2 linked regions of the Coturnix japonica genome follow. The protein of the gene in region 2 interacts with the protein of the main gene of each other region in a biochemical or structural test. Links are inferred from orthologs where the notes say so. Each region holds a gene or a part of one and is shown on either strand. Other genes may lie near its edges.

Region 1 (6,015 bases), on a different chromosome or scaffold from region 2:
GGGCCAAGTTCAAACCTGCCTCGAATTCACTCTCCTCCTATCGCTCTGTTATCTCTCACCACGGAGGGGGAACGTCTCCTTGTTCTGCGCCCCAAGCACAGCACAGCCCTGCTCACCACCGACTTTCAGCAAGCAATGCAGCAGCAGTTCACCATTTCTAAATAGATGAAGGCAGTGGGGACAAGCGGTGCTTGGGGAAGGACAAGAGGTTTTGCTGAGCCCAATCTCCTGCTTTCAGCAGTGGATGTTTGAGGCTCCATTGGCAGTTCAGAGTGTGGATCTGCACATACGGAGCTGGAGGAGGGGAGCGGGCCTGACAACTGCGCTGATTAGCTGGTGCCCTGAAGAATGACGTTTGATTACCTTTATCTTCGGCTGCAGAACTGCAAATGTCACTAATGGTCATAAAATCACCCAGCCTTTTTCAAAACACAACCGAAGTAAATTAATCTATTGAGCACGGTTTATTCAATACTTCTTACTCTGGCAGAACTCCCAACGAAATCATTTGCTTGCTGCATGTCTCCACCATATGGTGTCATTCAATGCAGACTTTCTTTTCTGTGCTGAAATCCCACATTTATTGGAGCCGAGTCACCTACAGAGCTCTTCCAGCTCAAACCTACTAACACAGTTTTCTGTCAAAGAGGTCACACGGCACTCGCTCTCTCGGTGCATTAACCAACACCAGCATGAGTTCTCCTTTCATAATTAAAATCAAACTCCTCTGCTCTTTGCAGACTTCAAGGAAGCGCTCTGCCCTGTGCAGGGCATTGCTGATGCCTGCCGCTTTGTCTCCCCTTCAGCAGTGCAGTACTTGGAAACCTCCTCCAGTTGTTGGTATGCTGCACTCCCTGCACATCGTTTCCCATAAAGCTATCGCACAACCAGTAAATAAATGAAAGATGTGTGACGTGCAGCTCTGCTAGGAAACTGGAGCAGCAGAGCACTGCTATAGCTTTGGAAAATGGTTTGTTTTAATGGGGTCGGTTGGGTACAGCCTCCATGTCAGACAAGGGGCAAAAGGAAAATTCTGAGCAGTACAGGCAGCAACACTTGCTGCTTTTGTTACAACTGGGAGCTCGAGGCCAGGAGGAAGATGTCTGACTACACGTTTTGCTATGTCGGTCCTTCATTCTCTGACCAAGATCTGCCTGGTGTCATCCAACCGCTCCGTGACTCAGTTTCCTTGGCTGCACAGTGGGGCCATGCATTGACAGGCCTGGATTGATGCAGCAGTGTCATCTTCAGTCAACAGCTTTAGAAGAACTCAGGTCGTCCCCCAGCCCTGCTACCCATCAGCAACAACCATCTCACTTGGTGTAGACAAGCAGGACGCAAGCTCTGCTTCACACAGCACTTCCACAACTCTTGAAGGCTGCTCACCCTTTCATGTAACATCTCCCTTCACTCTTGCTGTGAGCCCAGCACACGTGCTGCTCAACCGAGCCAAAGCCTTCAGCGCCACGCATCTCTCATGCTATGCATTTTTATGGCTCATCTTTCCCTCTGTGCTCCACCTACGACCTTCCAGCACCCCTGCCTCACAGCTGTGAGAAATGCTGGTATGCTCTGCAGAACAAGACACTTCCCCTCTGCGCTTACTCGGATGAGCAGTGAAATAATTTAAACGTCAGCATTAACCATCTTACCACTGGAATGGGAGCAAGCAGAACTGCTGCCCAGCCCAGCCAGTCCTTTACCCACACCATTTGAGAGGCTACAACTCCAAGAACTCTCAGAAATGAAAAATAGACTAGGAAGCATTAAAATGCTGTAGCAAATAGCACAAGCACTGGAAAACACCCAGTCCACCCTCCCCGTGCACAAAGCGCTCACATAACAACAGCCAGATCCCAGACTACACCAGTTTATCAGGACATCACAAAGCAGAAGAGCAGATTTGGCTGGTAGCAGCTGCAGGCCAAATGTGTCCCACAAAGCTGCTGGAGGCAGCTGCCTTCATCTCCACAGCAGATGTCCATCCTGTGATGGCTTTGGTGCCTGGTGTGACAAGCTCCATCATCGCCTGATCTAAAATACAGCAGGTCTCACAGTCTTTATCTCAATCTCTTTCTCTGTGGCACGGCAGGTGGGGATGCAGCCAGCATCAACTCAGCAAAGATGAGGAGCTGCCTTTGCTGTTCTCACTTATGCCTCCTCCTGTGCTTTAATACAGCTTGAATCCAGGGGGCTCCTGGACAAAACACAACTTTGCCCTACAGAAGCTCTTTCCCACATGACCATTTCCTTCAGCCTGGGCTCTCTGCACATGCTGTACCCCAGCTGCAGCTCCCCAGCCACCCCTCTGCTGATCCCCACTCATCCTTTCCTGACAGTCCTTGACGGATTCCACCAGCATCTCCCATCCCACCCCAACTACTGCAGCATCCAGCACCCAAGTCTATCACTCAGCCCCACCCTAACCTGATACAGGCAACATTTCACCCTCACCACACATCTGTCTCCCAGCGATGCCCTCTGTCCTTACCAGACCCTTCACAGTGAGGCTCCAATTCCTCTCAGTGAACACTGCTCCCCGTCAAATACTTTGTTTCCACACTTGAGCATTCCTTTCCCTTCTGGTTCGTCTCTTTCTCTCACTAGCACCAAAGTTCCTCTACTCCTTCCCACAATGAGTTCTTCTCTCTTCAGCCTGTGCTGTCCCCATTTCCTCAGCCCATGGCAGAAAACCCAAGAGCACTCAAATCCCAGCAACCCATCCTAGCCAGCCAACAGTGACTGGCACGGTACAGTGATCCCCCAAACTGGTCATCCCACCCTGGTCTCTCCCAGTCCCTGGGCAGTGTCTCAGCCCAAACACCCAGCTCCTTCACCCAGGCTTCTTTGCCAAGACTGAGCTCCCCTTTTAAGGCTATTTATCAACAGCCCTTCCAACTCTGCATGCCCTCCTGGAGCTCCCTCAACTTCTGCAGCCCCCAGGAACCAGCACAGGACGGATGGGTTGGAACGGATCTTAAAGCTCACCCAGGGCCCCATCCAAGCTGGCCTTGAATTCCTCCAGGGATGGGGAAACCTTCTCTGGGAAGGCCACACTGAAGCCATACTGAACAGCCGAGTTCTCCAGGCCGAACACGCGCAGCCCCTCAGCCTGTCTCCATAGGAGAAGTGCTCCATCCCTCTGAGCATCCTCGTGCTCCACTCCAACATCCCATGTCTTGTGCTGTGGCCATCACCACCACCATCACCACCACCACCACCACCCCCCCTTCCCCCTGGTTGCCCTGTCCATGGTCCTTCCCCGGTCACAGCTCCCCCAGCACTCGGTGCTCGGTCGCTGCCCCCATCACTGCCGTGTCCCTTCAGCCCATCCTCCCTTCCATCTCCCCTCGGGCCAACGGTGCCTCTGCGGCTCCGCTTCCCCCCGACCCCACGCATCCCCCCACGCCCCGACCGTCGGGCCGGACGCCCCAAGGGCCGAGCGATCTCCTCCGACCCGACCCACGCGGCCCGTCCCTGCCCACCCAGTCTCCCCCGTCTCCCCCATGTCCCCGATCTCCCCCCGTTCCCCCCCATGTCCCCGGTTTCCCTCCAGGCCCGGCCCGCCGCCCCCGCCCCGCTCACCATCCTCTACGCGGCAGCGGGGTTACCATGGGCAACTGCGTCACACACACGCCGCCGCTACGTCGCACGTCACCGCTTCCCGCCGGACGTACGGAGCGCGCGCGCGGGGCCCGCGGGAGGGGGCGGGGCCAATCGTAGCCACGCCCCCATCCTGAGAGCACGCGGCAGGTGGGCGCGGCCTCTCGGCTCGCTCTGATTGGCTGAGGGCGGCCACGCGGCGCGCCAAAAGTTTGGGTGCCGCGCAGGTAGGGACACGTGGGGTGGGGGCGCGGGTTGAGTGGGGACTGCGCGATGCGATGCATTGCAATGAACGTCACCGGGTGGCTGTGCAGCTCCACGGGTGTGCAGTCAGCAGCCTTGAAGGGGGGGGGAATGCGGCTTAGCACCGTTGGAAGCGTGCATGCCGTGGGGTGTGTGCGGTTATCAGTGTGCAGTGCAGGAGGCCGGCGGCAGCAGCGCCTCGGGTCGCTGAAAGTCCAAGCCAGCTGTTAAATATAAACCCGCAGCAGTTGACTCGGTGCAGCGCTCCGCAGCAGCACGGCGCTATCCCAAAATGGCTGCTGTGCCCCTCGGCTTCGACATCGATGCCCCGCGCTGGGATCAGAGCACCTTCATGGGGCGGCTGCGGCACTTCTTCAACATCACCGACCCGCGCACTGTGCTGGTGCCGGAGGGGGAGCTGGACCGGGCGCAGGCCGTGGTGGCAGGATGCAGGTGAGCACACAGCTGTGGTGCTGGGGCTGTGCCTGGCACCTGCCCGAGCGCTGGTGCAGCATCTGAGCACCCTGATGGAGCTGTAGATGTATCTGTTTGTAGCAGGAGAGTTGGGCTAGATGACTTTTAAGGGGCTCTTCCAACTCAAAAGATTCTATGATCCGTCAGAGGTGTTTTTGTGGGTGTTTATTGGGGTTTTGGGAGCCCTGAGCTATCGTGGCTGAGCTGCTGTGACTTCGGCCTTTCAGGGCCGGGATGGTGCCACCGGGGAGCAGCCAGGAGCAGCTGCTTTATGCCAAGAAACTGTACGACTCGGCTTTCCACCCTGACAGTGGTGAGAAGATGAACCTCATTGGCAGGATGTCCTTCCAGGTGCCGGGTGGCATGGCCCTCACTGGCTGCATGCTGCAGTTCTACCGGTGAGAGCTGGGGACACAAGTTGGGACACAGCCTGGATGGCCCTCAGCTCCTCTAGGGGCTCTAATGCTATGGGCTCAGGAGTGGGTTGCTCTCACACACCTCTGTCCCCATGAGCTTGCTGCATGCATCACTGAGGGCCAGGTGGATCTCATTCTCATCCCAAACCCCTCAGGGCTATGCCTCCTCCTGTGCTGTCTGCAAGACCCTCTCATACACATTCATTTCCCAGCCCTGCCCCTGCTTCACTCCTTGACTTCAGGCTGCCGTGCCTCAGTTTCCCCCAGCAGACACCAGGACAAGGGTACAGAGGGCATCTTATCTGTTCCCTGATGGCACCTGGGTGCTCTGCGGGCCCTTTTCCCTCTGCAGGACAGTGCCAGCTGTGGTGTTCTGGCAGTGGGTGAACCAATCTTTCAACGCCATTGTCAACTATACCAACCGCAATGCTGCGTCCCCCATCTCTCTGGCGTAAGTGTGCCCCTGTGATGGGACACCTGGTGCCTGTGGGATGCACCAAAAAGACATTCAGGCACCAAAGGAAGAGGATCTCAGTGTCAAAGGCAGTGTTTTATTTTATATTTCCATGCATCTGTTGCAAATCACCAGGCAAATAGGAGTGGCTTACGTCACAGCCACCTCAACAGCCCTGGCCACTGCTGTGGGACTCAACCTCTACACCAAGGTACGTAGGGATGGGGTTGCAACAGCTCCTGGCCGCATCCCACCCCATGCTGATCCCATCCTTTGTCCTGCAGCGTGCTCCTCCCTTGCTTGCCCGCTGGGTCCCTTTTGCAGCCGTAGCTGCTGCCAACTGTGTGAACATCCCAATGATGAGGCAACAGTGAGTGCATCTGGGGTCTGCCTCTGCTCCCTGGCCCCAAGGGAGGATGGGAGAGGTGGGATGGGATCTGTGTGATCACTACCCTGCATCTGGGAGAGAGTGTCCCTGGTGGGGTGGCCCAGCATTGAACAAAGCAGGAGGGTGGTTTGGGGGTGAAGATATCCCTTTTGGAGTCTATGATGTCCTGGCGCTACAGGGGGGTTGTTGGAGCTGCAGAAGTCTTGGGGTGTTCCATGGGGTGGGGGTCCCTTGTGTCAGCCATACCCTGAAGGTGGCAGCATCAGCCCAGGGGTGGCACAGCCCAGGGCTGCTGCGTTGCTGTCCCCACAGGGAGATTATCCATGGGATCTCAGTGACCGATGAGGACAACAATGAGCTTGGGCACTCCAGGGTGAGTTTGGGAGGGAGAGCAGATATTGGAATGGGGATGAGTGGACATGAGCAAGGCTGAGCAG
Region 2 (5,926 bases):
TCATGTGAAAGAGACGTAGGCAATGCAAGAAGACCTTATCAGCTCAGAGCACTGCAGCAGAATCACCAAACGTGAAGTAACTAACAGAAAACTGTGATTTATGTGGTGAGTTAAAGACCTGTTTGTGAGGTTCTCTTCTTTGGTTGTGGTTTGGTTTTTCATTTAGTTGGTTTTTTGCTATTGCTGTAGTTATTATTCCGGTTCTGTATGCCAATGCTGCTTAGCCACTAAGAATACAGAAAGGTAGGAAAGGAAAAGGGAGACCAAGACCAGAAGTGCAGTCTTGTGTTGTAGATGAAATTATAGCTGAAGGCCAAGGTGATTCTGGCATCACCAAGTTCCTCTTTCGCATTTGGCCAGAAAGGGATATGACAAGTCTCCAGGATGTTACGTAGTGAAAATAGTCTGTAACAGGCTGTGCTCTATCACAGAATCACAGAATCACAGGATGACCCGAGTTGGAAGGGACCTCAAGGATCATGTAGTTCCAACCCCCCTGCCTGGCAGGGCCACCAAACACACACATTTACTAGATCAGGTTGCCCAGGGCCCCGTCCTGTTGCAGAACGGCGGGAGAAAAGCAGACAACCACACCTGTCATTGACATATGATCAGCTATTCTCGTTTATTCCTTGGCTGCGTGTACCTTTATAATACAGATAATTAGCTCATACATATTGCAAAAGCGGAGCTCATCATTGGTTCCCAATTACATACCATCCCCGAGTATCTTTGCAGCTTGTTGTTATCATCCTGAAAGTTACTCCCTTGCCGAGTTCACAAAACCATGGTTAGTTTCTCACCATCCCAGGGCATCCTGTTGATCTCACTGTCCTTGCAGGTGGCATGGCTGCTTGATTAACTGCACCGTGTTTACGACCCTTCTCAGCTAGCTGTAAAAAACACTCTCTACACCGTCCAACCTGGTCTTGAACACCTCCAAGGACGGGGCATCCACAACCTCCCTGGGCAGCCTGTTCCAGGGCCTAACCACTCTCCTAGTTATTTATCTGGACTAAGAATCCCATCGAAACAAGAAACAGAACACGTTTTGTTTTCAGAATAAGTTCTTCATGTCTTTCCTTACTTTCAAGTAATCTAACAGCATCTCAAAGCATTTCATATTTAATTTTATACAATATGGTCCAATACCAGGGCTATTACACTGGAGTTATATGGTCACAAAGTCTTTGTCATACTACTCTTCAGCTACACAACACCAGCAGTAATCTTTTTTTTTTTTTTTTTTTCCCCCAAAGAACACAATTAGGACAGCCTACACTAACAATGCTGTGCTTCAGAAGTGGAAGAAATAACTTTGCTGGAAGAAGTGCTCAAGTTCAGAGCTTCTGCCAGCACAGCTGTCAACTAGCAGTCACTTCGTTTCACATCCCTGTACAGACAATCATGCACACACACACAGTATCACAGTCTCATGCAGTTTGGAAGGGACCTTAGAGATCATCGAGTCCAACCCCCGGGATTCAAACCTCCTGTGTAGCAGAGCGGCACTTCTACCACTTGCGCCCGGTGTGCCCATGTTGTGCTGCCTACACTAAGTATGTCAGCATAGCTTGAATTAACAGGAAGACAACTGGAGCCTCTGTGCAGTGAGATTTATCCATCTGTAATAATGTACACTGGATATCCTGAACAAACTGTAGACATTTGCACTCTGCTTGCAGCGCTGCACTACATAACCAGAACAGCATCGCTGTGTGTAATAGCCTGAAATTAGAACACACTTCACTCCTGACATGCTCGTATTAAAAGTAACAGGAAACGCTAATGGCTTTTAAAGTTCACATCTTCTGACTGAGTTGATGTTTTCAGAGTTCAGAACACAAATCTGATGATCAAGGAGCCCCAGCGCCACAAGTTTTCCAGCTGCCACCAATCAAACTTTGCTGTCGAATACAAATTGTGGAATGAATAAGTATGCTTATGTGTGCTGCATAAAAAAGAATGAACCAGCAATAGAGATAATGTGTCTGAGAGAATACCTAAAGCTACCACACGAACACTTAACACAGACTGTGATCAACAAATGCAGTGCAGAAAGAGCTCAGTGTTCCCTTGCCTAAAAGTCAGCATCTCAGCTCTGCTCTGCTGGTTTAATGTACCAAGCTCGTAGTTAAAGACAAAAGTAAGGTTGCAGAGAGCAAAAGAAATGGTCTGGCTCATGACATAAATATTCTTGATCTATGTAGTACCAAAGTAAGGAGCTAATTTGATGGCTTCTGCAGTTCAGTAGAACAGCCCAAACTTACTGATTCTTCCAGTTTTTCTGAGTATTTCATACAGGGAGGAAGTTCTACATGCAACACATTACATGCTTCCCCACAGTGAGAGTTTGTTCTCACTATAAAACCTCACGTTAGCTCGATCCTGCTCCCCACATGCTAACAGCCACCTCCACAGCAACAAGGTTCATTGCCCTTCCAGTCGAGTGTGTCTGTACCCCAGTTTTCCACCTGTTACACAGTTTTAGAAGTTAGTGCCATGTAAGTAAAACAGCATGTAGAAAGGCTCGTACGAGTTAACCTTTAGCTGATGAATGTGCTCTGTGATTAGGTCATATCGTTTTGAATGCTCATTTAGTTACGTACTTTGGCACACACTCACTGTACTTACTCTAGGGCAGGTTCTCAGTACAGCGCTCTCTCACCATAAGAAGCCTCCACAAGAACCCTACAAAACAACGAGCCCAGTCCAGCTCAGCCCTCTTTATCCTCAGGATAAAGGCTACACCACACAGTCCCTCGCTCATCTCCAACACAGCTTTTCTTAATCCACTTGAAAGCCTTAGGAACCAACCCGGAACACCTCACTAAGTTTAGAAACACAAGCGAGCTGAGCATTCACATGAGCTCACACATCTTCCTTTTGACACTTGGACAACACGGCCTAAAGGTCTGGGGGCCCAGACAACGAAGATCACACCGGACCGAGAGCGTATTCTCCATGCTAACGGGTCAGGCTGCCTCGAGGCGAGGACGAAGCCGAGTCTGCCGGCACACAGCCTGACAGGAAACCACACTCCGCTCTCCCTTCCCTCCGCCCCGTACCTTGGCTCGCTGGTCCCAGCTGTACTGCGGCGCCTTCTCCTCGCCGGCCGCCGGCTCCTGGCTGGCTCCTTGCTGCTGCCCGCCCTGCGCCGGCTTCCTGCGCTTGGAGAAGAAGCAGCCCATGGCGGCACCACCGCCTCCCCGGCAACCGAAAACCGCCTCGCGTCCACTGGAACCGCCCGACCCGGCCCGGCCCAGCCCGACCCGCGGGGAGAGGCCGTGCGGGACCCAGCGCCAGCGCAGCGCCTCACCGCCCCGCCCCGCTTCCGCCTGCACCGCCCGCCTTCGTCTCCCGTAGCGACCGCGACAACTGGAGGCCCGGAGAGGCGGGGAGATTTGTGCGGACAAAGTCGTGTTTTACGTGAGACTACCGTCATTCTGAGACGTTTTGTCCCGATTTTAACGGAACAGAATATCCCAAGGTGGAAGCGACCCACGAGGATCACCTACTTCAACCCCTGGCCTCACACAGGACCACCCAAAATTCAAACCCTGTATTGGGTTTGAGGGAGAAATCTTAGCAATTGCCATCACGCTCAAAGTAAACTTGATTTAGGGAAAGCTGTAAAAGCAGCAGGGAAGTGTTCTTAATCGAGCTCAGCACGCCCAGGCCAGCAGAAAAGAGGAAGCAGACCCACAGGCCAGAAGTATCACAGAATCACAGAATGACCCGGGTTGGAAGGGACCTCAAGGATCACGTAGTTCCAACCCCCCTGCCTGGCAGGGCCACCAAACATACACATTTACTAGATCAGGTTGCCCAGGGCCCCGTCCAACCTGGCCTTGAACACCTCCAAGGACGGGGCATCCACAACCTCCCTGGGCAGCCTGTTCCAGGGCCTAACCACTCTCCTAGTGAAGAACTTCCCCCTAACATCCAACCTAAATCTTCCCTCTTTTAACTTAAAACCATTTCCCGGTGTCCTGCTATTGTCAGCCCTTTTGAAGAGTTTACTCCCCTCCTGGGAGTAAGTTCCCTTCAGCCTTTCAATACCTGAAGGGAACTTACTCCCAGGAGGGGAGTAAACTCTTTGAAAGGGCTGAAATAGCTGCTAAGGCAAGGGGTGACTGATGCCCATTTTCCACCCTATCATGATACATATCCTTGTCTTGCAAAATCATCAGTACCACAAGAAATCAGGGTTTTATACGGCTACAGCAGATTGGGACAGGTCTTAGTTTTTTATCTCCAAACCTTCAGGCTGTTTCCTGACACCAAAGCACCAGGATATTTCTTCCAGACCAATTTAATATGGCTTATGAGCACATGACTTCTTCAGAAATTGCAAATGCCTGGCTCAGTTCTTCGTTCCCCATTCATATGCCAGGCAGACTCAACCCTCTTGGCCTGTGAGATTTGATATGATTGTAGCCTGAAGTGTAGTAATATAAGATTGCAGTAACACCGCAGTCACTACCAAGCATTATTATACTTACTTTAATTTCAACAAACTGCTGTAATTAGTGACTTCCCTCCTGGGGATGTTATGAAATACACCTAATTACACTGTAATACGGAGCTTTCTGATCCCCAGCTAGCAATTTCTAGGTAACTGAAAAATAAGACATTTTCATTGTAGAGGTTATGTCATAAAAGATTTGGTGCAGCAGCTTGGCATATCCATGCCTTTTGTGCCAGCTTCCATCCCTGCACAGCTTCGCAGTGCAGAGATCCCAACTTCTTCCCTTTCTTTTTTCTGACACTCCCATGTATCACCTCAAGGTACAGGGAAGGGGCTTATCCTCAGCAAATACTGGAAGCTGGAAGCTTGCCCAGGTCTTAAACAGGTAGTGAAGGAAGCGAAAGCTCGCAGCGTGCCCATCTGCACTCCTCGTAACACTGGGCAGAGTCTGGCTCTCTGCACTGCTGGCAGCTCACCACAACACGCAGAGCCAAACTTGCACAATCTCCTTGTGTTCTGTGTGCATGTTCTTAAAGCTCTTGGGATCGTATCGTTGTGAAAAATCTGCAGAATGTCTTGTTTAAAGCAGCTTTTACATCCTGCTGGTTATAGAGAAGTCGAAAACTTCTCCTGTAAGACATGAAGATTAGGAAGACTGTGAAAACAAAAAGACTTCAATACTACTGTTCCCTAAAATCTCAGCTCATGTTTTCCCTACCAGGAAGCATTACAGATCCCATACCTGAGATACTGGCAGCTTAGCTAATCTGTGTTTTGTAAAGGATTCCTAGTTAAGATTAGATTTGTTCATACTCGTGTGAAATGGTGAATTACAGGTGAGACAAATAACACACAACAGCAAACTGACCCACTGCAACAAGGAAAAGCACAAACAGGAAAGCTGAACAGTTCATATCTTCAAAATCTTTAGTTCCAAAAAACATTCTTGGTGTTCCCAACCTTTGCAGCTGAAAGGGGTTGCAGTTTATTTAAGGGCTGCTCATGTTCTGACTGCCCTTACTCAAACAGAGCAAATTAAGTTTTCAGCTGCAAAGCACATTCTTATTCTGCAATTATCATTTCATAGATCTTACACAAGAGCCTAGATCCTAGATCCCTTTTTGTGATAGGAAGAGAGCTGCCACAGCCTGAGTGTTGCCTAACATACATTTTGCCAGAGAAGCTTGCGTCCCACCTGAACACTGAGCTGGGACAGGCAGGACTCTCTAGTTTGATGTTCGATGCAAATGCAATGAAACAACAATAAAATTTAAGAACAGTATGTCTGTGGCTTATTTTCAATTGGACAACAATTCAGATAGCAAGTTACAGTGCTGACTCAGCAAGGCACATACGCACATGCCAAATGGTTAAATGAAGATGAGCTTTAACAGCCACTGAAGCACAGTCCAGCAGCCCTTACTTTTTTACTTAAGCTGCTGTTAACAGGACTTT

Evidence for each region. The genes of interacting proteins can lie anywhere in the genome.
Region 1: the proteins of RP2 (region 2) and ARL3 form a complex in vitro, tested with the Homo sapiens proteins (2 studies listed by BioGRID). The link is inferred for Coturnix japonica from reciprocal best matches to the Homo sapiens genes RP2 and ARL3.

What each region holds. Positions count from the first base shown.
Region 1 is NC_029521.1:20,421,152-20,427,166, forward strand, and holds the start of ARL3 (ADP-ribosylation factor-like protein 3), read right to left. Parts: upstream 3,706-6,015; 5' UTR 3,589-3,705; coding exon 3,586-3,588; intron 1-3,585. Other genes in the region: SFXN2 (sideroflexin-2), read left to right, coding at 4,139-4,299, 4,548-4,718, 5,089-5,187, 5,326-5,401, 5,475-5,560, 5,891-5,951. UniProt on the Homo sapiens protein: Small GTP-binding protein which cycles between an inactive GDP-bound and an active GTP-bound form, and the rate of cycling is regulated by guanine nucleotide exchange factors (GEF) and GTPase-activating proteins (GAP).
Region 2 is NC_029516.1:117,347,170-117,353,095, forward strand, and holds the start of RP2 (protein XRP2), read right to left. Parts: upstream 3,337-5,926; 5' UTR 3,192-3,336; coding exon 3,069-3,191; intron 1-3,068. UniProt on the Homo sapiens protein: Acts as a GTPase-activating protein (GAP) involved in trafficking between the Golgi and the ciliary membrane.